Oryctolagus cuniculus: one gene and its partner. The protein of the gene in region 2 purifies or fractionates together with the protein of the main gene of each other region. This does not show direct contact. Links are inferred from orthologs where the notes say so. Each region holds a gene or a part of one and is shown on either strand. Other genes may lie near its edges.

The links.
Region 1: the proteins of BTRC (region 2) and WWTR1 purify together in Homo sapiens (affinity purification with western blotting; 8 studies listed by BioGRID and IntAct, counting the BioPlex papers as one, with this or other methods). This does not show direct contact. The link is inferred for Oryctolagus cuniculus from reciprocal best matches to the Homo sapiens genes BTRC and WWTR1.

The regions. Positions count from the first base shown.
Region 1 is NC_091435.1:131,932,825-131,940,407, reverse strand, and holds part of WWTR1 (WW domain-containing transcription regulator protein 1), read right to left. Parts: intron 1,495-7,583; coding exon 1,268-1,494; intron 1-1,267. UniProt on the Homo sapiens protein: Transcriptional coactivator which acts as a downstream regulatory target in the Hippo signaling pathway that plays a pivotal role in organ size control and tumor suppression by restricting proliferation and promoting apoptosis.
Region 2 is NC_091446.1:28,390,511-28,398,093, reverse strand, and holds part of BTRC (F-box/WD repeat-containing protein 1A), read left to right. Parts: intron 1-3,230; coding exon 3,231-3,417; intron 3,418-7,583. UniProt on the Homo sapiens protein: Substrate recognition component of a SCF (SKP1-CUL1-F-box protein) E3 ubiquitin-protein ligase complex which mediates the ubiquitination and subsequent proteasomal degradation of target proteins. Recognizes and binds to phosphorylated target proteins.

The DNA of each region.
Region 1 (7,583 bases), on a different chromosome or scaffold from region 2:
TAATGACCAATTGCTGCAGATTCTTTGTTATTTGTTCTGTGGCGCACCCCTTCCACGACCTCCTATAATCTGGGGGTGTCCTATGACTGCTTTCTTTTTTTTTTTTTTTTAAGGATTTTATTTGAGAGGCAGAGTTACAGACAGTGAGAGGGAAAGACAGAGAGAAAGGTCTTCCTTCCGTTGGTTCACTCCCCAAATGGCCGCAATGGGCCTGAGCTGTACTGATCCGAAGCCAGGAGCCAGGAGCTTCTTCCAGTCTTCCACACGGGTGCAGGCGCCCAAGGACCTGGACCATCTTCTACTACTTTCCTGACCATCCCAGAGTGGGTGGGAGGCAGCGGTGGCAGTGGTGGCAGAAGCCGCAGCAGTCGTCCTCCCAATAGTTCTTTTTTTCCGTTCTCTTTCTGCAGTTCTGGGCACCTCTACCTGCCCCGGGGTGGACCCCAGCACTCTCTGGCGTGCTCCCGTATCACTCTAGCCAACCTTTTGTGGTTCCATCACTTGACTGTCCCCTCTATTCATGAATTTCTCTCTGCGCGACTCAGCACACCTTGCTGCTGTACCGCCATCTTCTCCATGACTGCTTTCATCAGAACATAGCAAAAGTGACTCCATGACACTTTTCAGAGCCACTTCCTGTCCCTCAAAACACTGTCTCTTGGACACCCAAGCTGCCATGTAGTAGGTCCCACTACTCTGAGGTAGCCATGCTGTAGGTGGCATGTGTAGATACTCTAGGCTTTAGTCCCAGCTAAGCCCCACCGTCCAACAATCCTCACCATGGTGCCACACACTTCAGTAGGCCATCCTGGACCCTGCAGACCAGCCCGCCCCCAGCTGAAATCACTAAGTGACCTTGGTCATCACCACACAGAGCAGAAGAGCTCAGCTGAGCCTCTTCCAAAGGCCTAACCCACAAAACTGCAGTACAATGAAATGGCTATCATTTTCAGCCACTAAATGCTGGAATACCTTGTTACACCACTATAGATCACTGGAACATTCTCTCTACTTTCTCCTTTACCTCCTTCTTATGAGAAGCAGTGGGAGCCAAAAGCAGCCACCCTTCTTCAGCCAGCCTTTCTGTTTGCAGAAGTTGGGCACTGAAGACCATGCAGGCGGACAACGGGAGGCAACTGACCCTAACATCAAGACGTAGAGTCAGGCTCTAGATGGCAAATGCACTCACCCAGGCAGCAGAGAGTAGCTACCCATGCTTGGCACCCGAGGCCCCAGAGCCTCCACCAGGCGCCACAGAAGGCCGTACCTGCCTCATGAGCTCCTCCTGGCGCATCCGAATCCTCTCTCTTTCCATCTGGATCCTCTGAAGCTGCAGTTTCTGCTGTTGCTGCTGCTGCTGCTGCTGCTGCTGCTGCTGCTGAGTGGTGAGCGCGCTGGGCATGCTCATGAGCCCCGCCGGTGGGTTCTGAGGAGGGCGGCTCTGCTGGCTCAGGGTACTGGGGGTCATCTGCTGCTGGTGCTGGTGATTCATCACTACAGGAGGGAAAAACAGACAGGAGGTTACCCACCAGGGCCTGCGGGACCTTATCAGAAAGAGACCATCAGAATGCTCTGTGCTTCGCAGTACACATTCCCAAGATTCCTTCCAAAGATCTTTCCTGTTAATCATTACTGTCTAAGTAATTATTACCTTCATTCAATTCATGGAGGGTCAGGAAGCGGCCCCACTCCTGACTCATCTAGTAAGCTTTTGGGTTCTACGAAAAATCTTCTTTCACACCTTCCCTGCGGGTGGAGCCCATTTTAAGCCTCACACAGAACACACTGGCAAAAAAGCAAATTCCACGAGGGTTAACAGGAATTATGAGCTAATTCCACCGCGTCATCTTGGTGGGGGTGTGTGCACTTTCTCAGACAACCTACACACATGTGTATGGCACAGCTGAGGAGAGGACACGCTCATCAGCACGTGCTGGGTCCACAGCCATTGCTGGGGTGGACGGGTGAACTGCCAAGCAACATATCCATCACAGCACCCAGGTCAGGAACCCACACCTGGGTAGGACTCGTTAATGCCCGGGCTACAAAGGGAACCCCAAAGAAGGCTGAGCTTCTGCAAAGGGAAAAATCAGTGAGAAAGAAAGTACATAGCAATGCTAAGCCTGTTTGTGACTGGATAAAGATGCTAGAAGTGTTCTCAACTTTTAAAGTTTCCTCTATTTATCAGCATTTACCAACATGTGAAATTTCGGCATATACAACTTTACTTTAGAAAAAACTGGGAGCTGGCGCTGTGGCGCAGCAGGATAAAACCCTGGCCTGCAGCGCTGGCATCCCATCTGGGTGCCTGTTCGAATCCTGGCTGCTCCACTTCCAATCCAGCTCTCTGCTATTGCCTGGGATAGCAGCAGAAGATGGCCCCAAGTCCTTGGGCCCCTGCACCCATGTGGGAGACCTGGAAGAAGCTCCAGGCTCCTGGCTTAGGAACAGCTCAGCTCAGACCATTGCAGCAATTTTGGGAGTGAATCAGTGGATGGAAGACCTCTCTCTCTCTCTCTCTGCCTCTCTCTGTAACTCTGTCCTTCAAATAAATAAAGTCTTTTAAAAAAAGAGTCTGAACTCTAATAATGCTATAATTGGAACTGCCACAAAATTATTTATTTTCATTTTTAATGCATTTCTAAAAGTGCTAGTTTTTCTCAAAACAACTGACCATTCAAATTTGCTTCAATTCTGCCTAGGCAATATCATGTAATAACGAAAACAAAATTTTTCCATCTATTTGCTCCTAGGTCAGCGCCAAAGACAGCAAGGTATAATTTTATAACCTCACTTCATTTTCAGGGGTGGGGGGAAGAGAGGACAACCTCAATTTTTGCTATACTTGGTATCACTACCAAAGACAAAAATATTGGGACAGGCACTGTGGCACAGTGGGTTAAGCCACCATTTGGGATACCCACATCCCATGTCGAATCCACTTCCAATCCAGCTTCCTGTTAATGAGCCTGGGAGGCAGCAGATGATGGCCCCAAATATGTGGATTCCAGCCACCCACATGAGAGCCTGCAGATGGAGTTCCTGACTCCTGACTTTGGCCTGGTCTAGCTTCAGCTATTGTACACATTTGGGTAGTGAACCTCTGGACAGAAGATCTCTCTATTTCTCTCCATCTCTCCTTCTCTCTCTCTGTCACTCTGCCTTTCAACTAAATAAATATATCTTTTTTTTTTTCCTTTCACAGGTAGAATTTACAGTGAGAGAGAGACGAAGAGAAAGGTCTTCCTTCCGTTGGTTCACTCTCCAAATGGCCGCAACGGCCGGAGCTGTGCCGATCCAAAGCCAGGAGCCAGGAATCTCCTCCTGGTCTCCCATGCGGGTACAGGGGCCCAAGGACTTGGGCCATCCTCCACTGCCATCCCAGGCCACAGCAGAGAGCTGGACTGGAAGAGGAGCAACCAGAACTAGAACCCAGTGCCCATATGGGATGCCAGCGCCGAAGGCGGAGGATTAACCTACTAAGCCACGGCACTGGCCCAATAAATACATCTTTAAACACTGTTTAAATAAAAGATAAAAATATTGACATATTTTAATATAAAAGTTTAAAAGTTAAATATTTTATATCTTCAATTTACTGTGGAAATTATGTGAAAACAATTTCTAAGTAAATTTTCTTAAATGAATTTTAAAGTAGCCCAATCATCCATGTATTAAATGTGTGGCATATTTAGTACATACATGCACACACACACACACATGCACGAGAGGTCTTCAAACAGTGCATTGTATTTCATGAAAAAACTAGGTAAGGATTTTAATTTTTTTTTGCACTGAAATACACTTACATATTGATCCTATTTTTGTACCCTTGTAAACTGTCACCAGTAGCAACACTAAAGATGTTCTTTTTTTTTTTTTTTTTTTTTTTGATTTATTTATTTGAAAGCCAGAGTCACAGAAAGAGAGAGGAGAGACAGAGAGAGATCTTCTATCTGCTGGTTCACTCCCCAAATGGTCACAACAGCCAGGGCTGGGCCAGGCCAAAGCCAGGAGCTAGGAGCTTCCTCACATGGACACAGGGGCCCAAGGACTTGGGCCATCCTCCACTGCTTCCCAAGTGCACCAAAAGGGAGCTAGATCAGAAGTGGGCAGCTGGGACTCCAACAGGCACCCTTACGGCACCTTATGGCACCCAAGGCTGGAGGTGGGGTGGGCCAAACACATCCACTGAAGTGTCTGGTGAAGCCCCTCACTCTGATCTTTACTGCACTCCCACTGAGTGCCCAACTCTGAGCTTGACACTGGATAAGTAGCTCCTGCCCTCACAGGAAATAACAGGCCTGCATTTTATGGAAAAGGGACATTACCCCACCACTCTGCCAGCGTCAAATTCAAGGTCTCCGACACCAGCACCCTGGCCAGTGGTTCATCTTCAAATGACTACAAGCCAGAACAACTTACAGCAAGGAGATGGGATTAGCAACAGGAAGAATTCAAGTGAGTACAGATGGATGCACAGCTCAGTGACAGGCTACCTAGGGAAAGTGAGACCATTCACAGTGCACTGTTGAGACAGCTGGATTCCCCTTTGTGAACTGAGCCCAGCACAAAGGACTCTCCCCTCCTGGCACCATCCTTGACACACAGGGGGAGCTCGGTACCCGACCTGATGAGTGGATGAAACCAGATGGACATTTTTACACTCTTAGGGTGAGAACATCCATTGTGACTGATGCCAAAGTAGCCGCACTGAGTGTTTCACTTCTAGAGTTTATGGGTGCAACATTACAACCTTGACTGGAAGGCCCAGGTGGGATGGCCAGCAATGCGCACGCAGGGAGCCACAGGGAAAGCGTGCTCTTAAATACCGACCAAAGGAAGACAAAAAACAGATGTCCAGAAGGTTTAATTCATAAAACCGACTTCCAGCCAGGGAAGGGAGGCACAGATGAAGAAATGGCAAGTATTCAAAGGATGGAAACCCTTTGGAAAAAGCATATTTACTTTTCTGATACAACTTTTGTAGATGCTCAATATCCTCACTATCACACAACTCCGGGGTAGGAAAAAGACGTTTGAAAAGCACAGACTCTTAATTCTTTGAACAATTTTAGCCACAGACTTGGGTCTCATAACTTGCTGACATGACAGATTCGAGCAGGGCTGTCTTCAGTGTCTTCGGCAGAACGTGCTTGTTCCTGTACAAATAGGGTATCGGGTTCGCTCCCAAGCCAGTCCTCTGTTAACTCAACTCCACGCAGCAACCAGACAAGCTCAGCAGATCTTACTAAATCTTTACCTGGGGGAGTTCCCTTGGAGGAAAGCTCTTCCAAAAACACACCCTTCCCAGCCCCTACCAGAGACAGTCACAGGGAGTAGCCTTGAGAGGTTGATTTCTTCCACTCAATTTAGATTTGACCATTCAGACTAAACATCCCTGGTTATTAACTGTGGAGTCTGGAAAAGAGCAGAACGTAGACCATGGCTTTGTTTTCAAAATAAAGTCACACCAAGAGAGCAGGTTGTAATCAGACAGTCACCACGGTATTGTTTATAATAGCAAAGACTAAAAATGACTTTAATGTCCACCAAGGGGAGATTATGGTCTGTCCATCCAGAGAAATTCTACATAAGCATTCCAAAGAATGATGGAATTCTATAGGAACTTACAAGGAACAATCTCTAAGAAGCACTGTTCAGAGAGGAAGCAACCCAAGGGACAGAACTGAAAGTAAGAGCATGCTCCCATTTGCAGGGACCAGCAAGGGACACTTAGTGCGCACGCACAGAGAAGCTCTCTGAAAGACACACCTGGAACTGGTAACAGAAGGAACCAAAGCCCAAAGAACCAGGGAACTTCACCAACGTCATGAAAATGGTCATTGTCCTAGAAGCCAGGTGTCCTGACTCAATCCAGGAGTTCACAATTCAGTGCCAACTCTGCTCCCTCCAGCTGTGCAATTTCTAACTGTTTCTAAGTCATGTCTGAGACCAGAGCTCACAAGCAATGGTGGCCAATGTATCCAGAAAGCACACATGCTTTTTTCCAAGGGTTCAGAAATGGCCATCCCTTGAATAACTGCCATTCCTTCATCTGCACTATGTTTGAGACCAGCATTGTGGAGCAGCAGGTCAAGTCGCTGCCTGAGATGCCTGCATCCCATGTGAGTGCCAGTTCAAGTCCCGGCTGCTCCACTTCTCATTCAGCTCCCTGCTAATGCACTTGGGAGAGCGGTGAAAGATGGCCCAGTGCTTGGGCCCCTGCACCCATGTGGGAGACCCAGATGGAGTTCCTGGCTCCTGTTTTCAGCCTGGACCAGTCTTGGCTCCTGAGACCATTTGGGGAGTGGGAGTGAACCAGTAGATAAAAGATTTCTTCCGCCTTCTTCCCCCATCTCTGTCTGTAACTCTCTGCCTTTCAAATAAATAAAATAATTCTTGGGGGGGGGGGGGGGCTGTGTCTGTAGATTCTCAGAGCCCATGGAGACAATGGGACTACAGGAGGCCCCTGGCAGAGAAACAAGGTCCCCAAGAGAGCCTGGGGAGACCAAACCCCTAATTTTGAGACAAACAAAACACTCCTTGGGATAATATTCCAGAACACTTTATGGAGAGAATAACAGTTCAAACACACACACACACACACACAAGGCAGAGTATCCCAAAATGCAAAATGCAGCATCTGAGGCCAAACCATACGGGCGGACTGCCATGAACGGCCTCAGAAAGGCTAACGACCGCGTCAGACCCAGATCTTTGCCAGTCCCCACAGAAAGGAATAACCCAAACAGAAGATGTCTCCATTGAAGCAGGAATGCATTAAAACTAAAGAAGGCGTCTTTTTCCTTCCAAGAGAGTCAAATTTAAATTTAGATCCCCATTTATCTTTTTCTTTTTCACTGTTCTCATCTCCTTCCTCGCCCTCAGCCTTTTTTTTTTTTTTTTTTTTTTTGCTGTTGTTTGTAGCTGGCTTTGTCTTCTGTGTTTGGAAATTAATAAATCCATGCTCTGCAGATACGTGACCACATGTGATGGTATCCAATCTAAAAGAAAACACCGAGAAAAACAAACGCCCAGCATCTGAGATACAAACACCCTTCTGATGCAACAACCCAGTCTTTGGAGAAGAGACCATCAACACGGGGATGGGGTTGATGTGAGGGCTGTGCACTGCAGACAGGGACCCCTGGTTAACGCTGCCCATGCCAACGAGCACTGCTGTGCCCTCTGAGCCGTGCTAGCAAATGCACTTGATCGCTTCTTCTACAAAGCTCTAAGGGCAAGCTCAGGGCCAGTTAGTTCTAAGCCAGCTGTCAACTTGCTATATAAGAAGTGCAACCATAATAAAGTCACTTTCCCTTATTTTCAAATTTTAACTAACAAAAACCCAACTACCAGTCTCGTGAGCTACCCAAGACTAATCTCATGGACAATAATGTTTGCAGGAGAATGTCAGAGGCCTACCAAGAGGGGAAGACTGCAACAATGGCCTTCACACCTAACTAAGAAGAAAGCGACCACCACCTCCCGGACTGATCACGAAGCCTCCACTGACTGACACCTGGATTTCCCCAATGGTCATCAGAACAAAGCCTGAAAAAAAACTGCCTAAATTTGAA
Region 2 (7,583 bases):
CTTTTTACCCTTACATGCGACTGCATAAAACTTTTTATAAGGTGTCACCCTTTAGAGGTTTGTCTTTTATAATGTGACTTAGTTTCAAGATTATGTTAATTTATATACTTAGAAGGCTCTGTTTAGGGGCTGGTGCTATGGCACAGTAGGCTAAGCCTCTGCCTTGGCACTGGCATCTCATATGGGCGTCAGTTCATGTCCTGGCTGCGCCTCTTACAATCCAGCTCCCTGCTATGGCCTGGGAAAGCAGTAGAAGATGGCCCAAGGTCTTGGGCCCCTGGACCCATGTGGAAGACTCGGGAGAAACTCTTGGCTCCTGGCTTCAGACCAGCCCAGTTCTGGCCATTGTGGCCATTTGGGGAGTGAAGCAGAAGATGGAAGATCTCTCTGTATCTCCTTCTCTCTGTAAATCTGCCTTTCAAATAAATAAATATTAAAAAAAAAAAAAAAGGCAGCGGCTCTATATAAATGATACTTAAATACTTTTCTGGGATTTTTCTTAATGCTTACTGGTATTCTAGAACACTACAAAGTTACCAGTATTTGGAGGGAAAGTTTTTGTAGGAAAATAAAAGATTCTCTTATGTGTTAAAGAGTATAAACTATTGGCCGGCTCCACGACTCACTTGGCTAATTCTCCGCCTGCGGCACCGGCACCCCGGGTTCTAGTCCCGGTCGGGGCGCCGGATTCTGTCCCAGTTGCTCCTCTTCCAGTCCAGCTCTCTGCTGTGGCCCGGGAAGGCAGTGGAGGTTGGCCCAAGTGCTTGGGCCCTGCACCCGCATGGGAGACCAGGAGGAAGCACCTGACTCTTGGCTTCCGATCAGGGCAGCGTACGGGCCGTAGCAGCCATTTAGGGGGTGAACCAACGGCAAAGGAAGACCTTTCTCTCTGTCTCTCTCTCTCACTGTCTAACTCTGCCTGTCCAAAAAAAAAAAAAAAGAGTATAAACTGTAAAAATAAGAATATAAACTATAAAAATAACATGTCCCAGAATCCCGCCATTCAGAGAGAACTACTATTAAGTCTTCCAAAAGGGCTGGCACTGTGGTGTAGCAGGTAAAGTCGCTGCCTGCAGTGCCGGCATCCCAATTGGATGCTGGTTCAAGTCCCAGCTGCTCCACTTCCAATCCAACTTTCTGCTATGGCCGGAAAGCAGTGGAACATTGCTCAGGTGCTTGGGCTCCTGAACCCTCGTAGATCTTAAAAAAAAAAAAATGTTTTGCACTTGTGCCATCCTCCACTGCTTTCCCAGGCCATAGTAGAGAACTGGATCGGAAGAGGAGCAGCCAGGACTCGAACCGGCACCATATGGGGTGCTGGCACTGCAGGAGGCGGCTTTACCCGCTACTCCACAGCACTGGCTCCCCAGAAAATAGCCACTTCTTAAAGCCGAATTTTATCTGTATCTTTTATTAAATAGATTTTTGCCCCCTCTTCACTCACTGGCTTTTGTTTTAGCCACAGGCGAGTAGTTTTCTTTGTACAGTCTGTGTGTACCTCATTACTGTGTTTTCCCCAGTCACTGAGACATACTACTATCTCAAGCTTACACTACTAAGAATTGAACAGGAGTTGATGAGACCTGCGTATTCTTTGTTCCATACTGATCCCCACAATGTGTCTGCTGACCACTCGGTGAGGTATTAAATCATCAGTTTAATGCTTTATGGACATTTAAACTTAGAAACCTACACCATCTGGCTACGTTTAGTAAACCATCTACTTCAGAAATGCCTCTAATCCATTAATGTAATGGTTTTGTTTGGAGTGTTTGGTGAAATTACTTCCCAAGACTTATGGGTACGTAGTAAGTGATCAGGAGCAACTTGATGTCAGCTACTAAAACACAGGAAGGTGTTTTGGCAACTTGTGACGGCGGAGACACTTCCAGTGTAAAGATTCAGGAATTGTGCCATCACTGGATTTTACATGATGTATTTTATAAGTCCTGTGTCTGTAATTGGCTTATCATCATGTTTCTTTAATAAGAATTAGGTGATGGATGCCTCCATCTGCTTATGCTTAAATATGAACATGTGATGCCAGCCAAACAAGATCCGTTTAATGCCTTCTTTCCCAAGTCTGCTAGAAGATGTGACTGATATCCATACAATCTTTATAATTAGAAAAATGTTTAAGCATAGTTGGATTGTTGCTAATCACATCAAAGTGTGTCTGTATAATTTGGGGAAAGGCACAAAAATGAAATGTGGTGCTCTCCTGTTTGTTAAATTTATGTCTACTGGAGTCAGGGCATAATGGAATCCTTCTGAACTATTTAAGTCTTTGTAATATATAACCTGTAAAGAGAAATAGCCTTCATTGTTTTTGACTCGTTTTTGAACTTAGAACAGAAGCCCAAAGATTTTTTTAGTGCGATCATCCTGTCGTGTAGGAGCTTTTCCACTGGGACCCCAGTGCAGATTTGAGTGGCTGTCAGGTTTACCCAAGCCAAGATCTACTCTTTACTCTTTTCCTCTGCACATCCTGCAGAATATCCTCTGAGATGCTTACCAAGTTGTCTATTGGTCTGGATTTTTTTTTCCACTTTTGGTCAACTGTCATTTAGGTTTTATAGCAGCAGCTATTCTCACACAGCTTTTTTTTTTTTTTTTTCTTTTTTGAAACATCTGAAATGAAGCATACCTCACTTTCTTTCCTCTTGGGGTATTCCTATACCATTCTGTATTTCCTTCTTCTCCTCCTTTCTGCATGCCCCAAATTCTATAACCCAGCACATTCTGCCTTAGTGTTTCTCCCCCAGTACATTTAAAGGATATTTCTTCTACTGAATAGCTTTGGAATTGCAGCAGTAATAGAAACAGAATGAGAAATGGACCTAATATAGAGATTTGGGGGGGTCTGAATCAGAGTTTGAGATGCCATCCACAGAACATCCCCTAGTGCTGAAATCCATATAGATAGATGTGAATTGTTTTCTGGAATCCTTTTTATTTTTAATGTCTTGGAGGGGTTGCTGGTTGTTAGCTTTAACTTCCTTATCTAAAGGAAGATGGAAAATACTGTTCATTTCTGTAACCTTATGGAAAAATTATTGACACTCATTTTACCCAAGCCTCTGTTTGAAAGAGCAACTGGACTACGCTGGGGACAATGATATGCCTTCATAATAGAACAAATGCTATTCTGTTTTAAAGGACCTTTTGTGAAAAATCATTCACTATCCCCTTTATTCTTTCTCTTTGCCTTCTCCCCTCCCCACTGAAAGCACGGGGTTTGGATCATATTGCTGAGAACATTCTGTCATACCTGGATGCCAAATCGTTATGTGCTGCTGAACTTGTGTGCAAGGAATGGTACCGAGTGACGTCTGATGGCATGTTATGGAAGAAACTCATCGAGAGAATGGTCAGGACAGATTCTCTGTGGAGAGGCCTGGCAGAACGAAGAGGGTGGTGAGCCTTTTAACTTGCTTAACAATCAGAGAGTGTTAGGGCCCAGCCGTCTTGCCACTGGAAGGTTGTTGGGAACAGTGAACCAATCACTTACCACTTACTACAGTGATTTTACTGATTTGCAGCTAAAAATAGAAAATAGTTGCTCATGCACTCAGCGGTTTTTCTTCTGACCCGTCACTCATAAAATGACATCACAATGTGTTAATATTGCTTGGCAAAAAATAATAGAACACTGACCAGCCATCCTGTTTCTCTAGGCAGAAATTAGTATCTTGCAGAAGGGCTGATAAGTAATTTATAAGGCAAGCAAATGAGTTTGAATCACATGGAAGCCATCAGATCAAGCTTTCCTCTGTAAAAACCCAGGACAAGTGAGCATTTTGTTTTTTCAGATTTCTTGCCTTTAGCCCATTCCTCCATTTTTTTTACCTTTGTAACAAAAGAGTATATTTTATGTCCAACTAAAATAAGAACTCTAGCTGTCAGAAAGAATAAAAAAATTAGTATAAATCATTATTTCTTCTTAAGATTTGGGTTTTCTCGTGATTTCTTACTTCATTTTGAATTCACTAAGGTTATTATACTCATATGCATGGATCTAAAAAAAATTTTTACCAAGATACACTTAACTTTAATTCTGTTTTCTGTAAACTTTGAAGTACCCTCATGTAGTTAGAGCCTAAGAGATTTCACCAGTTTTGTTGTTGTTCTCTTAACCATTCATTAGAACTTCTGGTAACCTCTTTCTTTATATAATTTTCTTCCTAAGTATGTTTCTAGAATGGTACTATATGAAGTCAAGCATGAGTCATTCATTAAGAAAGGTGACATAATAAATGTTTTAGCTGATAGAAAGACTGATAATAGGTATATGCATATTCATTTTTGCCCTTCCAACTTAATTTTTAAGTTGTTTATCTGGATCATAAAGAGATCTAAAACAGTTAAGAATGGAGAATACTTTTTAAAATACGCGCTTTGGATTAGAATTTTCACCAAAATCTAACTATCCCCCTTTTTTTCTGTCTTTGAAATTCATTAACACGTGATATATATATATGTGTGTGTGTGTGTGTGTGTGTGTGTGTGTGTATATACCAACTGCTTCAGAGATTTCAATCATTCTAGCAATTAAAAAGACTTAAAAATTTTTCCTCTCAATGAAGGGAATGAAACACCAAAGAGATCTTTGTCTATGTAATAATTGTATAAAAAAGATGTGGCATTGTGGCATAGCGGGTGACGCTGCCATCTGTGACACCGTCATCTCATATGGGTGCAGATTTGTATCCTGGCTGCACCATTTCCAATCCAGCTCCCTGCTAATGGCCTGGGAAAAGCAGCAGAAGATGGCCCAAGTGGTTGGGCCCCTGCCACTCATGTGGGAGACCGGAGAATGCTCCTGGCAGACAGCAGATGATGGCCCAAGAACCTGGGTTCTTGCCAACCAAGAGGGAGATCCAGATGGGAGTTCTGGGATCCTGGCTTCAGCTTGGCTCAGCCCTACCATTGTGGCCATCTGGGGAGTGAACCAGCGGATGGAAGACCTCTCTCTCCCCGCCTCCCACTCCCCCCATCTTTCTCTGTAATTTGAACTTTAAAATAAATAATCTTTTTTTAAATTTATTTGAGAGACGGAGTGACCAAGAGTGAGGGGAGGGGATCTTCTGTCCTCAAGTTCACTTCCTGAATGTCTGCAACAGCTAGGGCTGGGCCAGGCTGAAGCCAGGAGCCCAGAACTCCCATCTAGATCTCCCTCATAGAGAACCCAGGTTCTTGGGCCATCATCCGCTGCCTCTCAGGAACATTAGTAGAAAGCTGGATCAGAAGAATAATAGTCAGGTCTTTCCACTGGGATCTCACTCGCGGAGATCCTTCATTTAGGTCTTTTTTTTTTGCCAGAGTTTCTTGGCTTTCCATGCCTGAAATACTCTCATGGGCTTTTCAGCTGGATCACCTAGCACTCTGATATGGAATGCCAGTATCACAAGCTGTGGCTTAACTGTCTGTACCACAACACCCTTCCAGAAAATAAACTCTTAAGGTGTATAACAAAGAAACTAAGTATACAGTTAGGTACAGAAAATAAATGCTTTACATGTATAACAAAGAAACTAAGTATATAGTTAGGTCCAGAAAATAAACTCTTAATGTGTATAATAAAGAAACGAAGTATACAGTTAGGTGACATTCAGAGTCCATTTTGCTTAAGTACCTGCACTAGCCTTAGAAATACAGCAAGGGCCGGCGCTGCGGCTCACTAGGCTAATCCTCCGCCTGCGGCGCCGGCACACCGGGTTCTAGTCCTAGTCGGGGTGCCGGATTCTGTCCCGGTTACCCCTCTTCCAGGCCAGCTCTTTGCTGTGGCCCGGGAGTGCAGTGGAGGATGGCCCAAGTGCTTGGGCCCTGCACCCCATGGGAGACCAGGATAAGTACCTGGCTCCTGCCATCGGATCAGCACGGTGCGCCGGCCACAGCGCACTAGCCGCGGTGGCCATTGGAGGGTGAACCAACGGCAAAAGGAAGACCTTTCTCTCTGTCTCTCTCTCTCTCTCACTGTCCACTCTGCCTGTCAAAAAAAAAAAAAAAAAAAAAGAAAGAAAGAAAAAAAAAGAAAGAAATACAGCAAGCAGTTGCTTCCATGGGAAGACTAGAGCAGCTGGGAAAATTTCTCTGCCCCTCAGAACATCACAAAAAACTGTCTTCCCATTAACTACTGACCTGGAATTCAGTTACAGAGGTTCATCCCCTGGGGTATAAAGGTTTTGTTCCCTGTTAAAATACATTTTGTTCCTATTTGAACAGTAAATGACAGTGAGCTTTCAGTAGACATTGAGAGTTTATGAAGTCTCCTTTTGCAGGCAGGGAGAACAGGAAATGGGCAGTCTTAGCAGATGGCTGTGAAAATGCCAGAAGTAAAAGCAGGCTCCCCAGTTTTGCTTAGGGCTGGCACTAAGCCGAAATCGACAGTAGTTACAGAGAACGCAAAACTAGTATCACTGGAAAGATGACGTTTGGCCTTTGAAAAAAGTGTGTGATAGTCTAGCTAAAAATTATCCAGGGTTCAGCACCAATTGCCACTCTTTCCTGTCTCTTCACAGAAACCCATGCCTGCCTGGTTTCTTCTTTGTCTTTGACCATATTTGTCTTCTTGATTAGGCCCCATGAAGTTGCAAATGCTTGTTCACCCTGTTAAGACCTCCAGTACTCGCCTGACCTTCTTGTTGCTACTTCCGTTTCTACATGTTGCCTTTTTTCCCTGTTAGTTTTCCTCCTTTACTTTTTAAAAATAATCTGTGATCGGCTTCTCAATTTCTTCTCTGAAGTGGTCTTAGCAAGCCTGCTGCATTGACAAAGCCTTTCTGGTTATACCCTGCCCCATGTGCTGTCTGTGAAAGTGTCTCCCACTTCTTCTAACCAGAAATGAATAAACAGATACAGGGTTTTGTTTTGTTTTTAGAGATTTATTTATTTATTTGGAAACCAGAGTTACAGAGAAAGAGGGAGAGAGGTCTTCCATCTGCTGGTTCACTCCCCAAGTGGCCACAGTGGCTACATCTGGGCCAGTCCAGAGCCAAGAACTTCCTCTGGGTTTGCCACATGGGTGCACTTGGGCCATCCTCCACTGCTTTCCCAGGCACATTAACAGGGAGCTGGATCGGAAGTGGAGCAGCAGGGACTCAAACTGGTACCCATATGGGATTCCAGGATTGCAGGTAGAGGCTTTACCCACCACGCCACAGCACTGGCCCCTGTAGTTTTGTACTAAAGCTTTGGATCACTAAGATTTAGCTTCCACTCTGCCACTGTGTTTGGTTTTATTTCTTGTGATTTTTTTTTAAAGACTTATTTATTTATTTATTTGAAAGGCAGAGATAGAAAAGGAGAGAGAGAGAGAGAGAGAGAGAGAGAAAGTATCTTCTACTCACTGGCTCACTCCTCAAATGGCCACAATGGCAGAGCTGGGCCAGGCCAAAGCCAGGAGACAGGAGCTGCTTCTGTGTCCCTGACATGAATACAGGGCCTCAAGTACTTGGGGCCATCTTCTGCTGCTTTCCCAGGTGCATTAGCAGGGAGCTGGATTGGAAGTGGAGAGCAGCGGGGGCTCAAATGTCTGCTGACGCTGCAGGCAGAGGCTTAACCTTCTACAGTACACCACAGGC